Linked DNA regions of Struthio camelus. The main gene of each other region encodes a partner of the protein of the gene in region 3 in a complex. Links are inferred from orthologs where the notes say so. Each region holds a gene or a part of one and is shown on either strand. Other genes may lie near its edges.

Region 1 (3,811 bases), on a different chromosome or scaffold from region 3:
TCCGGAGCTGCAGGTACCGCTCCAGGGCCTGGCGCCTCTTGGGGTTGAGGGCTTCAGGCTGGCTTGCAGGCGATGGCGAGGCTTTTCCTTTGCCACCTTGCTGGGTCTGGGTGGTAGCTGCCTTTGGTACGTCTGGGAGAATGGAGAGGAGCATGAGCTGGCGAGACCCGCAGAAAAGAGAGAAACCAAGGCAGGGCCAGGGCTGCAAACAAGCCGAAACCCGGTGGGCTTTCTCATTGGCACCAGTGCTGACCCAGAGCCACTGGCCCACTTTTACCTGCTCGCCCGCTACAGCACCCTGGCAGCAGGGCCACTGGGGTGGTGCCCACAGCCTCCTTGATCTTCTGCGAGGGGACTCTGGGCTCTGGAGAGGCCGTGGCAGCGATTCGCACAGGGGCGGTGCTCAGCTCCGTCTGGGTCATACCTGCTCTTGAGCCATTTCCATTCACCCTAGGATGGGAGAGGCGTGACGCCCAGCTCCAGCCATCACCGCCTAAATGTCATCCCACGAGTGCCTGTTACCAGCTGGGGGATGGCAGCCAAGGAAGGGGCATTCCACAGAGTGCGAGTCGGTAATGACAAAGCTGCACAAGGTGGAAAGGTGATGCCCACTCACTTCATTCACCCCTGAGAGGGCAGGAACCCCCAAGATCTTACCCCATCCTCCGGCAGCAGCTGCTGTAGGGAGCAGCTTTCAGCAGAGCGCTCTGGGCTATCCTCCTTGTTCGCACCAGCAAAGGGGCTGGAGAGCCCTGGGGGGAAGGGGCAGAGCTCAAGCCAGTCTGGTCGAGGGTCTAGTGGGGAGGGGAAGGGGCATCTGCACCCACCTGTGTGCCTGCCTCCTCCGCCCGCACGAATTTCTCGTGCTGTCGCTTTTGCACCTCGTTCTCAAGTGAGTGCTTCCTGCCGTAGAAGCTCTGCAGGCCTAGAAGAGAGTGAGAGGGTCGTGGGCCGGCCTGGTGCAGCAGCGGCCTCCCCCTGCCAAGCCTGTGCACTTACTGGCAACGTGTTTCTTGCCAGCCCTGTGGACCGCCAGCACATCCAGAGTATCGAAGATGGGGCGGTGGGCACACACGGTGCAGGTATACCTGTGTAGGGGAGGAGACGCCGTCAGGCTCGCCCATCTCCGCACTCGGAGACTGGCAGAGCAGTCCCTGGTGGCAAGAGAGGTTTGAGTCGTTCCAGCTGCCCAGGCCCACGGAAGCTCAGGGTTTGCCCACCCACATGGATCCCATTCACCTCCCACTCCTCAGCAGCACTGCCTCGTCCTCAGGGATATAGTTGGCGAGCAGGTCCGCGACGCGTCGTTTCTGAGAGGGACAAACAAGGTCACGTTAGCTGCTGCCGGAGGCGGTTTCTGCCTATGATTCACCCTGCACTCTCACCAGTCCAAGTGGGACAGACCAGGGGATCAATCCTCACCCATAGCCCAGCCACACCACGGACCCATCCACCCTTCAGCCAGGAAACCTGGGCACCCGGGGGACCCCTAAAGGGGGCAGCAATGATGAGGAGCCAGCTGGGAAGGGGGTGCAGGTGGGGGAAACGGGGGGGGGGGGTTGAGGTGGGGGAGAGAGGGGGCAGCTAGGGGAGATTTTCAGGGGGAGATTGGAGAACAGCACAAGCTGAGGTGAAGGAAGGGAGTATTTGGGGGGTCAGGTTGGGAGTCAGAGCGAGGGAAGGGAATATTTGGGGGAGAAGGGGTATTTTCAGAGAGAGCTCTGAGGGAAGGGGGTGTGGATAGGGCCATATTTGGCAAGGAAGAATAAGGAGGGGGGTCAGGGCAGGGGGTATTTGAAGGGCTGGTTTGGGGGCAGGAGAGTATTTGTGTGCAGGGGGATTTGAGGGCTGGGAGGGATTTGGGGGCAGGTCTGGGAGAAGTCTGGGAGTAGGGGGATGTTGAAGGGGTCAAGTCAGGACAGAGGATAACTGGGGGGCAGGTCTAGGGTGGAGGGCATTAAGGGGGGGCAGGGGGTAATTGAAGGCAGGAAGAAGGAGGAGAAAGTTAAGGTGGGGAATATTTGGGAACAGGGAGAAGGGGGAAGAGGTCTGGGACTATTTGTAGGGCAGAGGGGTATCTGGGAACAGGGAGAATGGGAGGGGGGCCTGGGGAGGATCTGGGGGGCAGGGAGGACAGGGGGCGGGTCTAGGGGGTCATTGGGGGGCAGGGAGGACGGCGGGCGGGATCCTGAACTGTTGGGGGCCTCGAGGGTGCTGGACCAGGGATCCTAGGTGTGGGAGGCTTGAGCTGTTGGGGGGTCCCGGGGGCACTGGAGGTCCTACCTGCAGCACACCGAGCTGGCCGGGATCGTCTCCCTCCCGCTTGAAGGACATAGCGGCCGCTGGCGCAGCCCGCGGTTACCGTAGGAACCGCCGTCCCCTCCCCACTTCCAGGCCGCCTTTCCCGGCGGGCCACGGGCCGGCGCGGCGACCAACAGGGAAGGGAGAGGGCGGGGTTGGTACTCCCACAGTGCCTTGCGGCAGCAGGACCCTACCCCCGCGCGCACGACATGCTGGGAGCTGTAGTTCTCTACCCCCAAGCTGGGCTGCTAGGGGGAGAGGTCGGGGGGGATGAGACCCGGGGCGGGACAGGGAGGACTATTGGGCGAAGGTGGGGGGGGTTCATGGGGCAGCGCCTAAGGGGGACAAGAAAGGATCCTGGGGGACAGGAACATTTAGGGGGATCAGGGGTCGGCGGTGGCCCTTGATGGGGGCAGAAAGGGCCCCTGGTGGGGGGCAGGAACCCTTGGAGGAGGCAGGACCCTGGGGGCAGGGACCTTGGGGGTCACAGAGGGACATGGGGAATGAATGAGGGCCCTGACGGGGAGTAGGTGCCCTGGAGGGCAAGGAGGACCCTTGGGGAGGAGTCCTGGGCGGGGCAGGGAGCACCCAGAGGGAGCAGAGAGGACCCTTTGGGGGGCGGGACCCTGGGGGGGGACAGAGACCCTAGGGGAATAAGGAGGGGCGGGGGGGTGCAGAAAGCCCCTGGGGGGGCAGCCCCACGGCAGGGATGGTCCCATGTGGGGGGCACAGGCTGAGGCCAGGGCTGCGAGGGGACGCCCGACTGCAGGCCATGGCGTGGGGGGGAACACCCCCGCTGCCCTCTGCCCCCGAGACTACGTCTCCCAGAGACCTTCGCGAGGGCCGGCCGGGCCTGGCATCTCCCTACCCAGTCCGCAGCCAGACTGGGTTTACTGGAGGCGGGGGGGGGGCGGGCCTGGCAGGCTGGTAGCAGTACTGAGGGGGGGCCGGAGAGGCGGCCAAAGGCCCCCCCCCGCCCTTAGCATCACCCCCACGGGCGGCACGCCAGAACGCCTGGGCCCTCCGGGAAGTGGGGGTCCCGTCCCTCCGAGCCCCAGTGTAGGGGTATCGGGGTGCAGGGTGGCCCCCGGGAGTGGGTTGGGTGGGTGGAGTGTTAACATGAGCCCCCCCGGCATGTGCCAGGGCGTCGGCAGGGGCCAGGGGTGAGTGGGGCCGTCCCGCCATGGCGGCACCCCTGGGGCGGGAGGTGGTGGGGGACGGTGGTGGGCCAGGGCCGGGGGGGCTGCTGGGCCGCGAGCATCGCCTGGAGCCCGGGGACACGCTGGCAGGCCTGGCGCTGCGCTATGGCGTCACGGTGAGCGGGGCTGGAGGCTGCTGGGGTGCAGGGGGCAGCCATGGGGCAGGGGGGCTGCTGGGGGATTGCTGGGGGCTGCCACGGGGCAGGGGGGCTGCTGGAGGGTTGCTGGGGGGCTAGGAGCTGCCATGGGGCAGGGGGCTGCTGGGGGGGACTGGACAGCTGGGGCAGGGGGGGACCAGGGGCTGCTGGGGC
Region 2 (3,600 bases), on a different chromosome or scaffold from region 3:
TTTTGGGGCAATAAACATCTTAACTTTGCCCTTTTGGGGGCAAAAAACCCCACCTTAACTCGGCCCTTTTAGGGGCAAAAAAACCACCTTAACTCGGCCCCTTTGGAGGTAAAACCAGCCTTAATTCAGTCCTTTGTTGGGGCAAAAAACACCTTTACTCTGCCCTTTTGGGGGGCAAAACTCGCCTTAACTCTGCCCTTTCCTGGGGCATAATCGGCCTTAACTCGGCCTTTTTAGGGGCAAAAGGCAGCCTTAACTCTGCCTTTTTGGGGGTAAAAACAGCCTTAACTCGGCCCTTTTTTGGGGAGGCAAAAATAGCCTTAACTCTGCCCTTTTTGGGGCAAAAATGGCCTTAACTCGGCCCTTTTGGGGGCAAAAATGGCCTTAACTCAGCCCTTTTTAGGGGCAAAACTGGACTTACATCTACCCTTTCCTCAGGCAAAAATAGCCTTAACTCGGCCCTTTTTGGGGCAAAAACGGCCTTAACTCGGCCCTTTTTTGGGGCAATAAACATCCTAACTTTTCCCTTTTAGGGACAAAAAACCCCACCTTAACTCGGCCCTTTTGGGGGCAAAATCAGCCTTAACTCGGCCCTTTCCTGGGGCAAAACCGGACTTAACTCGGCCGATTTTGGGGGGGGGGGCAAAAACAGCCTTAACTCGGCCCTTTTGGGGGCAAAAAAGGCCCTAAATTGGCCCTTTCCTGGGGCAAAAAATAGGCTTAAATCTGCCCTTGGGGGGGGGGGCAAAACCGGCCTTAACTCGGTCCTTTTGGGGATAAAAACGGCTTTAACGGTCCATCGCCGGCGGGGACGCCTGGGCCCCCCGTTGGGGGGGGGGAGGGGGCTGGGGCCGGCTCGGGGACCCGGACGCCTGGGCCCCCTGGGGGAGAAGCGCTTCTGATTGGCTGGACGAAGCGCCCAGACGCTGGCGAGCGGCCAGCGCTGGGCCCACGTAACGCTGATTGGCTGGGCGCCCGGGAGGGGCGGTGCTGATTGGCTGGCGGCGGGCGCGGCCGGCGCTGATTGGTTGGCGGCGGAGCGAGGACATGGGCGATGCCCATTGGCCGGCGCTCGGCGGCCTCTTCCGCACCTGCGCGGAAGGAGGACGGGGCGCCCCCCCTCCTCCACGGGGAAGGTGGAGGCCACAAGATGGCGGGCGCCGCGAGGCACGCCGGGAGTTGTAGTCCCGCCCCGCCTCCCGCCGCTGGCAGCCGGGCGCCGCGCGGACTCCCGCTCCCGGCGTGCCCCGCGCGCAGGCGGCCAGCCGCCGCCACAAGATGGCGGCGCCGGCGCGCGGGGGCCGCCGGGAGTTGTAGTCCGGCGCCTCGTAACCCACCAATGGGCTCCGCGGGGAGGCGGAACTTCATTTCCCGGCGGGCCGTGCGCGCGCCGAAGTGACGTCAGCGGCGGGGCGGAGGAGGGGGGGGGGGAAGGGAAGAGAAGGGGCCGGAAGGGGAGGCCGCGCGGGTAGGCGGGGGCGCGTGGCGTCGCCTCGCGTCTCTTCGTCCGGGTCTCGCAGCCGCGGCAGCCTCGAGCGCGGGGGAGGGTCCCCGCGCGGCGCGAGCGGAGCCGCCGGCTGGTGAGACGGCGGGGAGGGGGCGAAGGGGAAAGGGAAGCAGATAACGCGGGGACGCGAGCGCGGGTGGGAGTGGGGGGGGCGGGCGCGCGCGTACGTGCGCGTGCGCCGCGGGCGACCGTTGGCCCCGGGGAGGGGGAGGGGCGGGCGCGCGGCGCGGCCGTTGGCCCGCGTGGGGGGGGGTGGGGGAGGGGCGCGGCAAGGGCCGTTCAGGAGCGGCCGTTAGGGGCGGGGGGGGCGTTTTGAGGGGGAAAACAAGGTTTTCATCGAGTTTGGGGTGCGGTTGTGAGGGAAAAGTGGGTGCGTGGAGGGGGATGGGGGAAGTTGTGAGGGGAAATGGGGTGCGGGAGGAGGTTTTTGGGGGGGAAAGTTTTTTTCAAGGAGCTTGGGGGGCAGTTGTGAGGGGAAAGTGGGTGCGTGGAGGGATTTTGGGGGGAAACAAGGTTTTCCTGGGGTTTGGGGTGCGGTTGTGAGGGAAAAGTGTGTGGGTGGAGGGAGATGGCGGAAGTTGTGAGGGGAAATGGGGTGCGGGAGAGGGTTTGGGGGGGGAAAAGTTTTTTGAAGGAGTTTGGGAGGCGGTAGTGAGGGGAAAGTGGGTGCGTGGAGGGATTTGGGGAGAGTTTTAGGGGAAAACAAAGTTTTCCTGGGGTTTGGGGTGCGGTTGTGAGGGAAAAGTGTTTAGGTGGAGGGTTTTGGGGGTAGTTTTAAGGGGAAAAAATTTTTTTCAGAGGTGCTTGGGTGCAGTTGTGAGGGAAAAGTGGGTGCGTGGAGAAGTTGGGGAGAGTTTTGGGGGAAAACAAGGTTTTCAAAGAGGTTTGGGGTGCAGTTGTGAGGAGAAAGTGGGAGCATAGAGGGTTTTGGGGGGCATTTTGAGGGGAAAAAGTTTTTCAGAGGGCTTTGGGGTGCGGCGGCGAGGTGAAAGTAGGTGTGTAGAGGATTTTGGGGAGAGTTTTAAGAGAAAACAAAGTTTTCAGAGGTGCTTGGGGTGCAGTTGTGAGGGGAAAGCAGGTGTGTGGAGAGATTTGGGGTGAGTTTTGAGGGAAAGCAAGGTTTTCAGAGCAATTTGGGATGCAGTTGTGAGGGGAAAGGGGGTGTGTGGAGGAGTTTGGGGGGAATTTTGGGGGAAAACAAGGTTTTCAAAGGGGTTTAGGGTGCAGTTGTGAAGGGAAAAGTGGGTGCGTGGAGAAGTTGAGAGTTTTGAGGGGAAAAAAGTGGTTTGAGGGCTTGGGGTGCAATTGTGACAGGAAAGTAGGGGTGTAGAGGATTTTGGGGAGAGTTTTAAGAGAAAACAAAGTTTTCAGAGGTGCTTGGGGTGCAGTTGTGAGGGGAAAGCGGGTGTGTGGAGGGATTTGGGGGGAGTTTTGAGGGAAAGCAAGGTTTTCCTGCAGTTTGGGGTGCAGTTGTGAGGGGAAAGCGGGTGTGTGGAGGAGTGAGGGAGAGTTTGGAGAGGAAGAAAGTGGTTTGAGGGCTTGGGGTGCAGTTGTGAGGGGAAAGTAAGGGTGTAGAGGGATTTGGGGTGAGTTTTGAGGGAAAACAAGGTTTTCATTGGGGTTTGGGGTGCAGTTGTGAGGGGAAAGTGGGAGCATAGAGAGTTTTGGGGGGAGTTTTGGGGAAAATTTTTCAGAGGGGTTTGGGGTGCGGTTGTGAGGGAAAAGTAATGGTGTAAAGGGATTTGGGGGGAGTTTTAGGGGAAAACAAGGTTTTCATTGGGGTTTGGGGTGCAGTTGTGAGGGGAAAGTGGGAGCATAGAGAGTTTTGGGGGGAGTTTTGGGGAAAATTTTTCAGAGGGGTTTGGGGTGCGGTTGTGAGGGAAAAGTAATGGTGTAAAGGGATTTGGGGGGAGTTTTAGGGGAAAACAAAGTTTTCATCAGGTTTGGGGTGCAGTTGTGAGGGGAAAAGTGGGTGCGTGGAGGGTTTTGGGGGGAGTTTTGGGGAAAATTTTTCAGAGGGGTTTGGGGTGCGGTTGTGAGGGAAAATTGTGTGGGTGGAGGGTTTTGGGAATTTTGGGGGAAAGCAAGGTTTT
Region 3 (3,811 bases):
CAAAAAGATACCATATTTAAAACAAATGGATTTTTCTACTTAATAGCTGCACAGCCAAAGAAAGTCTGAAAAAAAATTCCATGAAACTTAAAAAAAAAAAAAAACTTCATCAACCTGAAAAAGAAGAAATACATCACTGAGCTTATACTTTTCCCAGTAGCTAAGCATAACACACACTATGTTTCTGAATTACTGTAAAAATTACACAGCATCGTATCATTCCCTGTATTCTAACAAACTTTTTCCTTGTTCTAAATCACTAACCTCCTTTGAACTCTAGCAAGAAAAATACCAATGAAAACCAGCTATTATGATTTCCTCCTGTATCTGTGATGGATTAACACTACAGCCTTGAGAACTAACTTCAGTGAGACTGTCTCTTCCAAAACAAAAGACAAACATACCATTAGGAGCAAACTAACCTTGATTGCCAGAATACTGTTTATGTCCATAAGGATCCCCAGTGTTTGAGCCTCCTTTCTCTCTCAAGTTTTCTTTCAGAGTGGGCATGTGCAACACTGAGCCATACTCTGTACGCAACTTGACTGCCATCTTTACTTTGTGACTGTTGGAAGAGGAAAGCATATTAAAGCCTAATCTTTGAGTTGTTATTAACTTTTGAAATATTTTAGAAAGCATTTGACACCACTCACTTTACAATCCTCAAATTTTTCTTCCCTTAACATCACACTGTAATTCTATCCAAACTTGTGACTTGACTAGAACAACCGCTACCATAATTTAAAGCTTTGAGACATACCAGTAATTCACTGATTGCAGCACATACCTTTCTTCATCTAATGGTATAGGCTTGGCATTATCAGCTACAAACATATCATGGGTTCTCTTCAAAGATCTGAACACAAGTGTGTGCACAGAATGCTTTTGGACTTCCTAAAAATAAAGGAAAGCATATTTAAATACATTTGGCCACAGCTGAATAAGGAATTGAAAACAGTAATACAAGTTAAATAGAGTAGCAATTTCAGGCCCTGACAGTGTTAAATGATGCGGCACTATCCAGTTCGCAGAAAACATTCTTGTTGGAAACTAAACATTAAAGTTTATGTGTTGTTTTAATTCAGTGTTTACTCAACTCTCCCTTTCCTGGAAACCAACAAAACTGAGAAAAGCAGGCCAAAAACTTTGATCAAACTTTCTGCACTGGCACCTATATGATGAACACATAAACAGGAAAGATTTTCCTACACACTTGCCAGTTCTGTTTTTATATAGTAACTGATTCTGAAAACATTCCTATAAATTCTATTTCACTATCTCCATAAAAAGAACAAGAGCATTCATAAAACTTCTGTGTAAACTGTGTCACTTAATGCAAGCACGGGAGCAAACATGGGCTCAAACCTGACAAAATTTGTTTTCTCCAAATAATTTTGTTTCCTTATTACCAAAAGCAAAACATTAAAATTCCATTCAAAGACTAAGAAGCAAAATAACAAAACTTTTAGGTCTCTTTCTACAGAATACTCTCTTATTACCAGCACAGTTCAGTTTTTGTTTTCAAATCTTTTCCTCCCAAAGATAAAAAAAAAAAGTCATTAGGAAATAGCTGAAAACAGAACTCTCTATAGGACTGCCTTTGTTCTGCACATCACAGAAATAACAGCAATAAACTGGAAACTACGTTAACACTTTTTGGAACTGGGTTGGGAGTTTCATGCAAACTGAAGAAAGAACTACGGGGAAGAACTGCTGTTCAACTACAGTAGCTATTGTAAACACCACACGAGCGCCAAGTAACAGAATGCCTCCCCATTACGAACGGAAGATCGTGGAGCATCTGGCAACGCTTTCGACAGAGATACCACACTGAAAAAAACAGCAGGCAGCCTGACATAGGCCAGCATTCTTTACATTTTCTTACAGGCTCCTGACAGTTCCCTGTTTTCAGCAGCGCACGAAACTCGCTCCACGCTAACTACCCCACCGCCGACAAACGCGGCGGCCGCCTGCCGGGCAGCGCTGCCGAGACCTCACGAGAAACCCACCGCGTTCCCGACTAGCTAACAAGGCCCGAGAGGGGCACAGCCCCGCGCCCGCCTCCACGCCCGGCCTCAGCCTCGCAAACCACGGCCCACCGAGGCCGAGGAAACCCTCCCGCGCTGCCCTCGGGGCCAGGGGCGCCGCAAAGGCCGAGGGACCGCCGCAGCCGCCGCCTTCACGGGCCCAAGCCGCCCCCGTCGCCTCGCGCCGCGCTCCGCCGCCACCGCGCCGCGGGGTCCGGCCGCCTCACCTCCACCATGGCGCCGGCCACCTCGGACAGCCGCAGCTCACCGCCACCCGCTATGGAGGCACTTCCGGCGCCTGCCTCGCGCCGCACCGGAAGTGGCGCGCCGCGCGGCGAGCGCGCACGCGCGCCGGGGACGGGCGGAGGGAGGGAGGCGAAGGGCGGGGCCGGAATGGGCCGTTGGCGGCGGCGGCGGCGGCGCAGTTTGGGCGGGGCTCAGCCGCACCACCCCCTATTTCCCGTGCCTGGGGTCTGCGGGTTCGAGTCCCGCTCGGGGCGAGAGGGGTCAGTGAGGCGAGGTAGGGCTGTGCCTGAGGCTTCGGCTCCAGAAAGGGGAGTTGCTAGTGGCTGGCAGCAGTCAAATGTCCTTTTATCAGTTAAAAAAAAAAATCTGGATCTTGCAGGTGCTCACCAAGCACTAGCAAAAACCTCCATGCAGGGGCTGCTGAGGTGGAGGGGTAACAACCGCCACAAAATGGGTCTACGGAGTAGGGAAACGGCTCCTAGGGGAGCAAAGCAAGACCTGCAGAGAGCCGGGAAGAGCCTCCTTAATGAGTCGTGGAGGTTGGGCTGTCTGGTGGTGTTTTGTCTAGTGATAAACTGGCACGTATCGAAACTTGAGTTGAATTAGGCCTTGCAGATGAAGCTAAAACAAATGACAAATGGTTTTTCAACCATATAAATAAAAATAAAACACGGAGAGAAAAACTGAGACCGCTCTGGGGTGGGAGCGGTCAAGATGGAGGTAAATGAGCAACCGCCCAAGCAGAAAAAAGTGCTAATATTTTATGCTAGTTGTATCAGCTAGACCGATACAACATCTTGATTCGGTCCTGTTGGGTTAGTTGATACCGACGATTTTTAATCATATAATCAAGACTGGCTGTGGCAGGGACTCGGCGTAAGCAAGGGCACGTCACCGTGCTGATACTTCTGTCTTAAAAGCAACCCTTCACAGTCACCGTCATCACGAACTAGTAAATCTTCCCGTGGTGAAGCTACACATGTTCAGCGCAAGCGTGAACAAGAAATGCTTTAACGCCAGCCTATGCAAGCCGCAGTTACAGCTACCGAACAGCGGAGTGCAATATTGAGCTTTCTGAAAGATAAACTGTGTCTTGCTAAGACCTTGTGAGAACAAGCATGAAATACCCGTAAGGATCCCCTATTACGAGTGATGTCAGCTTGATTTTATAGGACGTGATGGCGTTTTTAATTGTTTTGTGTGGTGCGGTTACATATCTTAATGGTCATTTCCTTCATGAGTTCTCCAAGATAAAGCCGGTTCATGAAACCGTACACAATGAGTTGGACATGGACAATTTTTTAAACCCAGGAGTAAAATGCAACCTCTAAAGAAAAATATTAGTGTTATGTAATATTCTAACAGTTATACTTGATAACTCTTCTGGAAAGATTTCTTTAACTTATGTCCATGGGAATGCTACTTTAAAATGGGAACTAAAGTTGTATATGAGTTGGTGATCCCTACATCTCATGACAAGGTGTGAATTGCTAAAGGACTGAAGTCCATATTTTTTTCAAAGCGTATCCTGCAGCACA

What was found.
Region 1: PLRG1 (region 3) and SCNM1 share a complex: the UniProt entries of both Homo sapiens proteins name them as parts of the minor spliceosome. The link is inferred for Struthio camelus from reciprocal best matches to the Homo sapiens genes PLRG1 and SCNM1.
Region 2: PLRG1 (region 3) and SRRM2 share a complex: the UniProt entries of both Homo sapiens proteins name them as parts of the minor spliceosome. The link is inferred for Struthio camelus from reciprocal best matches to the Homo sapiens genes PLRG1 and SRRM2.

The regions. Positions count from the first base shown.
Region 1 is NC_090971.1:23,620-27,430, reverse strand, and holds the start of SCNM1 (sodium channel modifier 1), read right to left. Parts: upstream 2,464-3,811; 5' UTR 2,335-2,463; coding exon 2,284-2,334; intron 1,311-2,283; coding exon 1,240-1,310; exon of another isoform or gene 1,236-1,239; coding exon of another isoform or gene 1,225-1,235; intron 1,089-1,224; coding exon 1,000-1,088; intron 926-999; coding exon 828-925; intron 753-827; coding exon 658-752; intron 451-657; coding exon 278-450; intron 133-277; coding exon 1-132. Other genes in the region: LYSMD1 (lysM and putative peptidoglycan-binding domain-containing protein 1), read left to right, coding at 3,485-3,616. UniProt on the Homo sapiens protein: As a component of the minor spliceosome, involved in the splicing of U12-type introns in pre-mRNAs. Plays a role in the regulation of primary cilia length and Hedgehog signaling.
Region 2 is NC_090973.1:764,978-768,577, forward strand, and holds the start of SRRM2 (serine/arginine repetitive matrix protein 2), read left to right. Parts: upstream 1-1,392; 5' UTR 1,393-1,580; intron 1,581-3,600. UniProt on the Homo sapiens protein: Required for pre-mRNA splicing as component of the spliceosome. As a component of the minor spliceosome, involved in the splicing of U12-type introns in pre-mRNAs.
Region 3 is NC_090945.1:39,287,153-39,290,963, forward strand, and holds the start of PLRG1 (pleiotropic regulator 1), read right to left. Parts: upstream 2,383-3,811; 5' UTR 2,264-2,382; coding exon 2,255-2,263; intron 895-2,254; coding exon 788-894; intron 566-787; coding exon 423-565; intron 1-422. UniProt on the Homo sapiens protein: Involved in pre-mRNA splicing as component of the spliceosome. Component of the PRP19-CDC5L complex that forms an integral part of the spliceosome and is required for activating pre-mRNA splicing.